2 linked regions of the Caenorhabditis elegans genome follow. The protein of the gene in region 2 interacts with the protein of the main gene of each other region in a pairwise test. Each region holds a gene or a part of one and is shown on either strand. Other genes may lie near its edges.

Region 1 (4,107 bases), 4.0 Mb from region 2:
GGGCATGAATAAATAATAATTACATGATCTCAAGATATCATCTCTCCAAAATTTATTTGACTTTATCCAGACCATGTGTTCTATCGTAGTTTCGTATACCTTCGAGGCCTCCAATAAACTCTCCGCACACGAATACCTGAAACGTTTTTAAAAATAACTACTTTATCTCAGTTTTGTGGTTAATAAAAAACTGTCGTTAAGAAAAGCGTTCGGAAAAATATGAAACTTACATATGGGGATTTTTTGGTTTTAAATCGATTTTCCATCACTTTCAATACTTCTTCACCAGGCCAATCTGACTGCTTATCATGCTCAAAAACTTGAAATTTCGAGATATCGAGTCGATATGTTGACACCAATTGACAAACTTTTCTGTAAAACCTAATGTTTTTTGTTGAAAATGCCTTTCATTATACCTAAACTCTGGACAGTTGCTTTCTCCAAAAACCACAATTGGCGCTGAGTCCGGAATATTCTCCACAATTTTGATGGCTTTCTCGTTTTTATTGATAATTGATGTTTTTAATACAGACGATGTTGATGACGAGTGGCCAAGTACGTTACAAGTCTGAAAATTTATTTCTGTTAATTTCAAAATTCAAAAAGAGTAGAAAAGAATTAATAAATAAATAAAAAGTTCGTTCCGTGAAGCTCTACAAACTGCGTGTTTGTTTTTTTTTGTTGTTCAATATGAAAATCTTCGATTGAAATCAGTTTGGATTTTAGTTTCAAAGATGGCGGATGCAAATGCAACGATCTGTTATTTGAATGGTCTTTCTCTTCATACCATCAATGAAGTCGAGAAGGTATGTTTTTCAATGAAATTTTCAGACTTTCATTCTAAATCATTCAGATTTTGCTCGCTTTGCCAAAGAAAGGGGACCGCTGTGAAGTGCAAGTGACCAAACCGTTGAATGGAACCATCGGACGTAGTACTGGGGATGTCATTGCTTCAAAGGTTCAGTAGATGCCGGCTCAATTTTTAATAAAATTGCAAATTTCTAGAGCATGCAGATCCATGATGAGCCAAGACCATTGTCTCTGTCACCGCCTCTGCAGAAATCTGAGAAATCTTCGAAGAGCAAGAAACTTTCCGAGTACAGTTGCATGAGTTCGACTAAGGAACAAATGGAGACTGTGGTATTGCTCTTCAAAAAAAGTCCCCAAAATAATAATAGTTTTTTGAAGGAAATTCGCAACGGTTCCAATGCTTCTGCGGCAAAGAAACTCCAATGCAAGGTCTTGACTGATCAAGTTCGTGTCTCGCCAATCGTCTCGTGCAACGGAGTGATTTTGGAGTTGGATGTTGAAGTCACAATTCCTGATCGTGAGGAGAAGAAGAAATTGAAGTTGGAGATCGAGTGCCCCGATTTTGTGCCAGCTCGCATCAAAATTGGCAACAAATGGAAGAAAATTGTTTGAGCGAAAAAGAGTACGATTTGGAGGCAATAAATATTTTGTATTTGATTAAAGTAACTACCTTTTCTTGTTCTTCATATTCTCGTTGCCTTTTTTCGGCTTCTTCTTTCAGTTTCTCTTCACGTTTTGATGTTTCAATTTTCTCTTTCTCGTCGTGCTCTCGTTGTTGTTTCTGTCTTGCCAATCGCATCTTATCGGCTTCTCTGTCTTGAACTTGTCTATCTGAAACGTTTTATTGATGGATAAATCTGTGGTTTTCTTACCGAACTTTTTCTGCTCGATAAGCCTTCGTTCTTCTTCTCTCGCTACCATTAAGTCATAAATATACTTCTTGAAAAGAATGTATATTAAGATCACAACAAAAACTGTCATCCATCCGTAAACTTCAAGAAACGCCCAGGTGCTTGTTCGAAGATCTATAATTATATCGCTTAAATATATGCTCAACAGTTGAACTATTGAAATTCTCGTTATTACCTTGAAGAGTACCCATATTGCTTTAATAAACGTTGAATTATAGCGAAAAAACACCAAAAATTGACAACTTGTCTTGTCCGAGAGGAGTACACGACATTCGGATTCTCGGCCGTGGCCTAGAATATTAGTCAATTTTTGTGCATTTCCACGATTTTTCAACCAGTTTTATTTAACTTTTTTTTCGTCTCTAAAACCACAAAATCGAAATAAAATTTTGAGTTTTCTTGTAAAATATCTTATTTGAAATATTCTGAATACATTTTCTCTTTTTTTGAGATCAAATGGACGCCACAACTCTTTCGAGATTGTCAGAGTTTGAAAAAGAGAAAAAGTTTTATGATGCTCTTCAATTCTACCGGACCAAGGTCACACGCAGTTTCCGATTGAAAAATGCAAATGAAGTGGCTATTCCACTCGTTAAACACGCACTGGAATTCTTCTTCAGAGGTTTGAAAACCAAAATAGAAAATCAAATCTTTTTTATTTTCAGAAAAACAATATCAATGCGCCATCGATATCACCACACAATATGCCGAGTGTCTCTCGAAAAATAACGTTGATCTTGGAGAAGAAGCCTTCAATATTCTTGCTGATAGCGTCTCAAAGTTCGCTAATTTTGCAGAGATTGAGAACGAGGCTGGAAATTCAGAACCCGAACAGTTGTTGAACACTGCACGTTGTAAATGTGTTGACTTGGCCATTCAATGGTAGGTTTATTTGTCGAGGCAATTAAAATATTATTTGATTATTTAATTCAGGACAAAGCAAAAAGCAACCACTCCGATTGAGAAGAAATACGGTTCCGCAGCCTTTCATACTGTTCTCGCCAAAAAGCTAGTTGCCGTCGATCATGTGGAACTTGCCAAAAATCATTTCTTGCTTTCCGATGACTTTAAATCATTCGCCAATTTCCTTCACCAAGAATATGAAAGCTTTAAACAAAAAGAGTCTGAACCAGAAGTCATTATTGTTGAAGCCGTTTTTCAGTCACTCTGTCTCGATCGTTTCCCATTTGCCGTATCTCTTTTCACTGAATACGTGGCTCCTGCCAAGTATCCGTTCACAAAGCCATTGCTCAATTTCCAGCACATATTATTTGACGTTATTGAGACGGAAAACGTGAGTTGAAAACGAACACTGACTTTTAAAAACTGTTTTTCCAGCAACCTCAATATTCGGAGCTCACCTCTAGCTATCAAACAGAATTGAAAAGGTCCCTCGCATTCATTGGATATCTCACGAGAATTGGGAAGCTCTATTTCGGAATTCGTGATAATCAATGCATGAGCGGCGGTCTGGGTGGACTTTTTTCAGGTTCGCTTAAAATTTTAATTTAAAAAAATAATTAACACATTTATTTTAGGACTTCTTGGTGGTCAAAAAGAGGAAGAAACTGCAACTTCTCATATCACTTCTCGGACTCCAGCTCGTCAAAAGCCAGCTGCCATGTCTCAACCTTCTCCATTCGGTCCATTTGGCGCTCTTGCTGGTGCACCGGCTCCAGCTCCAGTTCCAAAGAAAATTCAAAAAGTTGAAATGGAAGAGGATCTCGATTAAGTTTAGATTTCATGTTAAACTATACCTTTTCTTATTGAAAATTGCTCCTTATTTACTGGAAATATTCCCCGATTACCCCTTTTTGTTCCGCTCTTCTTTCATGTGATATTGGGTTTAACTGATGCTTTTTATTGAATATAAAAATTCGAGTTTATTGGTGATAATAGGATCCCACAGTGGAAAACGTTCTGAATAGATAAATACGAGCCGTTGCAAAAAATGAACAAATAATTAAGAAACAACAACAAACGGGGATGATAGAAGAAAACACCGGTGCTCACATCTTGTTGACTTCGCGAAGTCCGAGAATCTTGAAGCATGTTGACATGACTTTTCGGGTAACATCACACAAAGCGAGACGATGCATATGGACAAATGGTTTTTCTGAAAATAAGATTCCATAAATTATTTAAAAGGCTCGACATGTAATTACACACATACCTCCTTCCTTATTTTCAATAACGTAACACTCGTTGTAGAAGTCGTGGAACAGAGTGGCCAACTGATATACGTAGTCGCACATTTGATGAAGCATAAGACTGTCCAAAACAAGAAGAACACAATCCGAGAGCTTCAACAATTGTTTGGCGAGTTTAAACTCTCCTGGATGATCCAATGGGAGTGTTGGTGTACTCGCAATGTATTTGACCAAAT
Region 2 (4,204 bases):
TAGTACACAGAGTGTAGCATGTCAAGTTCCGGCTTCATCAAATAGAGCACTTTATCTCCCATTTTTGTTGTATGGTCTTGGAAGAAGTCCAAATTTTGTGGATGAGGTAATTTCATATCTTCTAGATATTTTCGTTCAATTATTCCAAATAATCTTTTTTTCAGTTGAATATTGCCATTCCGAAATACGCAGATCGTAAAGAAGATTGGAAACACAGTCTTAAACAGATTGTTCCAAATTCTCGGATTATTGTTCTCCCACCATCGGATCAATATCCACACTGGACGAGTCGGCTCTACGTCACACCATCAGCTCTTATTGTTCAGGTAAGATTATTATGGAGACGTGGACATACGCTCCAAATGGGAACGACGGAAATTGATAAAATAAAATTAAAAAATAAAAGAAAAAAACTTTTCATTTTTAATGCATTCTTTAAACATAATTTCGGCATAAAAATCATTAAAACTAACGAAAAACATTTCAAAATGGTTGCAAATACGAATTCGTTGAATTCACGGGTTTGCTGCCAAATAACTAACGAGACCCATGGCTCGGGGGCGGAGCGTAGTCAGTTGGCCATGGGGCACATTTCCACGTCTCTATAATAAATCGATATTCTCATTTTCCAGAGTCTTGCCGTCATTGCTCTCGTATGCTGTATGCTTCTAATGGTTGTCGTATTCTTACATTATCGAGAGAAAAAGGAAGATCGATACGAACGACAACAACAATCTCATCGATTCCATTTCGATGCCATGTAGATTTTTTTGTGAATTTTAAGATCATATCTTCTTGAAGACGAGATCGTTTTTTACGGGTTCCCATCATTTGTCTCTTTTTTTGCATATTTGACCTTTTGAAGCTTCATCCTGTGTTTAGATTTCCCATTTCGAGCTGTGATTGCACGTCGGAGTATTTTTAGAGATCAGCTTTAAATCCGAGTTTTCCTTGTTTGAAAATAGAAACATTATTTGAAAACAACTGTAATATTTATTCCACGTGACCCCTTACCCTCCATCACTCTCTTTATAAACTGAACAGAGACTTTTTCGTTTTTTTGACGAACTATTAAAATAAAACTTTTTGAATTTTTTCCTAATGAAGTCAAATCCAAAATATTTTCTAATGAATGACGTGGAGCGGCAGAGCAAATATTCGCCGAAATATGTGAGTTTTCTTCAAATTTTTGTTAACTTTAACAAAAAGTTTCCAATTTCAGGTTCCAAACAACAGTCTGAAAGAGCGAATTCTGGAGTTTTTGGATTATTACATTGCGCCATTGAAACTGTAAGTTTCATTTTATGGAAAATTCTCATAAAAAACTCAATATTTTCAGGTATCTTCTGTCTTACCCGATGCCGGATTGCCTTTGGGACAATCGAAAATTGAGGTATTACATCGGAAAATCGTTGCAATGACATGGAACCCACATTCATTTTTTTCAGATTGAAGGCCAGTGGTGTGCAAGTGACTCCGAGCTCCGAACCAGTTCATATCGATGATCGTCTAATTCACATTTCACAGAAACAACCGTCCGAATGATTTTTCGATTTTTATTTAATAAAGTTTTAGAAATTATTTCATTTTTTTCAAGTTTTATCCGTGTTCTAATGGTTTTCTATTACCTTATTATTATTTCTTCAGTTCTCCAAAAAAAAATATTACCCAGACATAAAATGTTGAGGTTTTGTAACCTGGGTCTCGCCCCGAGAAAATTTTGTTAAATGCAGAAAGTTGTGCGCCTTTGGAGTACTGTAATAAACACTTTCGGAATTTTCATAATCGAATCAAAAAAGTTATTTATTAAAGAACTTAACTCCTATCAAGTCGAGAAAACACTGTAGAAAAACAATAAAAATTTGTATCCATTTTTACTTGAAAAATTAAAAAAACTGCAAAAGGCTAGACATTTCTTTTTAAAATTTCAAACTTTAAATGCAAATAAACCTAAAACTTCTTTTTTTTTCAGAAATAATGTCGGATCAGCTGGAAGCCTCTATCAAGAATATTCTCGAACAAAAAACGCTAAAATGGATTTTTGTGGGTGGAAAGGGAGGTGTCGGAAAGACGACATGCAGTTGCTCATTGGCAGCTCAACTCTCAAAAGTTCGTGAGAGAGTTCTTCTCATCTCCACCGATCCCGCCCACAACATTTCTGATGCCTTCAGTCAGAAATTCACAAAAACTCCAACACTGGTCGAAGGTTTCAAAAATCTCTTTGCAATGGAAATCGATTCAAATCCGAACGGAGAAGGCGTCGAAATGGGGAATATCGAAGAAATGCTGCAAAATGCTGCACAAAACGAAGGTGGAAGCGGTGGATTCTCGATGGGAAAAGATTTTCTTCAAAGTTTTGCTGGAGGACTTCCTGGGATTGATGAGGCAATGAGTTTCGGGGAAATGATAAAGTGAGTGTCAATGATTCTGATTTTTAAAAAATCTATTATTTTTTTCAGGTTGATAGACTCTCTTGACTTCGACGTTGTGGTCTTTGACACCGCTCCAACTGGGCACACTCTTCGTCTTCTTCAATTCCCAACACTTTTGGAAAAAGTATTTACGAAAATTCTGTCACTTCAAGGAATGTTTGGACCAATGATGAATCAATTCGGTGGAATGTTTGGAATGGGAGGTGGATCAATGAATGAAATGATTGAAAAGATGACAACGACTCTAGAATCTGTGAAAAAGATGAACGCACAGTTTAAGGATCCTGTTAGTTTTTCAGATTCAAGTGATATTTAAAATTACTACGGAGATATATCACCCAGACGCGAAAATTGTCGTAAAATTCTGCATCTTGGTAATATGTTTTTTTAACCTTTTCAATTATATCAAGGGTAAATTCTAGCTTGATATATATTGAATTCAGAGATTTTAAATCATCAAAGTTTCTGCAGAGCATTCAAATATGTATTTACAGAATTGCACCACATTCGTCTGCGTCTGCATTGCCGAATTCCTCTCTCTTTACGAAACCGAACGACTTATTCAGGAGTTGTCCAAACAAGGAATCGATACTCATAATATTATTGTGAATCAACTTCTCTTTCCGGATACCGATGCAAATGGAACAGTTTCATGCAGAAAATGTGCATCGAGACAGGCGATTCAGTCGAAATACTTGACAGATGTGAGTTTAAATGAGAAGTTTGATAAATTATTAAATTAGAAACTTTGAGCAAATTAATATTGAATAACCACAGTGCATTTTTGACTCTGTCGTGATTTGCTAGATGCGGAATAAATCAATTTTTCCAGATCGATGAGCTCTACGAGGATTTCCACGTCGTCAAACTTCCACTTCTTGAGGCAGAAGTGCGTGGAGGGCCCGCAATTCTTCAGTTCAGCGAACGGATGGTGGATCCTGAAGCTAACAAAAACTAAACTAATTTGTTCTCCTACAAAATCAACTTGTTCTGTGGTTTTTTATGTTAAAAGATTCTTCCTATCCCATGTTTTTTCTCCAAAATTCCCTGTCCCCTTATTTCTCGCTTTATTGTGGGTGCCTTTTTCGAATCAAATGAATAATTTATGATATTCATTGTTTTTTACTTAGGATTGAAGTATATTTGGAACATAATTATCTTTCAAACTTCAGCCTGGCAAACTATTTTTGTCAAGTAATCATTTTAATTAGCTAGATTTTAGACGTAATTTCTTTCAAATAGTACCTAGTATTAGGCAGCCGACAGGTCATGGGACCAAGCAGTACATTTTTCCGACTGCTAGACTTCATCCGACACTTACCTAGATTCAGAGAATTCAATTTTCACACAACTTGTTAAAATCTCTAGTTTACGAGCTTGTTTTTAACCAGACTTATGGATCCTGAGAATGGAGGGCCATGGAGCCTCCATGGAGGGGATGGCAGTTGGAGATACAATGATTTTGGAGTAATTTTACCTTCGTATTATTTTTCATGTGATTTCATTTTCAATTCACTTAGCCCCGTTTCCTAATGTTCAAGTTGCTATTTCCAATTTATTTTCCTTGGTCCACTTCATATTCCTTGGAATTTTTTCTGCATTCAAATTACCAAATAGCCACGTGCAATATCCCATTCTCTGCAGTTTTGAAATTTGAATTTATACAATAAACATGAGTTGTCAAATATTCAGTCTTAATCTGATATTAGTTCAAATATATTCCAAATCAATTCCAAATATATTCGAAATATATTTCAAATATATTCCAAATA

Evidence for each region.
Region 1: the proteins of asna-1 (region 2) and cee-1 interact in a two-hybrid assay, tested with the Caenorhabditis elegans proteins (2 studies listed by BioGRID).

The regions. Positions count from the first base shown.
Region 1 is NC_003281.10:4,910,527-4,914,633, forward strand, and holds cee-1 (Get4 family protein), read left to right. Parts: upstream 1-2,172; 5' UTR 2,173-2,177; coding exon 2,178-2,343; intron 2,344-2,386; coding exon 2,387-2,603; intron 2,604-2,654; coding exon 2,655-3,015; intron 3,016-3,059; coding exon 3,060-3,210; intron 3,211-3,259; coding exon 3,260-3,453; 3' UTR 3,454-3,607; downstream 3,608-4,107. Other genes in the region: F26F4.9 (Glutaredoxin domain-containing protein), read right to left, coding at 53-136, 231-372, 417-568, 1,481-1,641, 1,683-1,835, 1,897-1,912; F26F4.2 (PDZ domain-containing protein), read left to right, coding at 735-806, 854-958, 1,006-1,140, 1,189-1,422; rars-1 (putative arginine--tRNA ligase, cytoplasmic), read right to left, coding at 3,731-3,837, 3,895-4,107.
Region 2 is NC_003281.10:8,893,112-8,897,315, forward strand, and holds asna-1 (ATPase asna-1), read left to right. Parts: upstream 1-1,970; 5' UTR 1,971-1,977; coding exon 1,978-2,411; intron 2,412-2,459; coding exon 2,460-2,718; intron 2,719-2,926; coding exon 2,927-3,136; intron 3,137-3,264; coding exon 3,265-3,390; 3' UTR 3,391-3,543; downstream 3,544-4,204. Other genes in the region: lnkn-1 (Protein linkin), read left to right, coding at 1-106, 165-326, 633-764; ZK637.4 (uncharacterized protein), read left to right, coding at 1,102-1,170, 1,223-1,290, 1,340-1,393, 1,449-1,545. UniProt on the Caenorhabditis elegans protein: ATPase required for the post-translational delivery of tail-anchored (TA) proteins to the endoplasmic reticulum. Recognizes and selectively binds the transmembrane domain of TA proteins in the cytosol.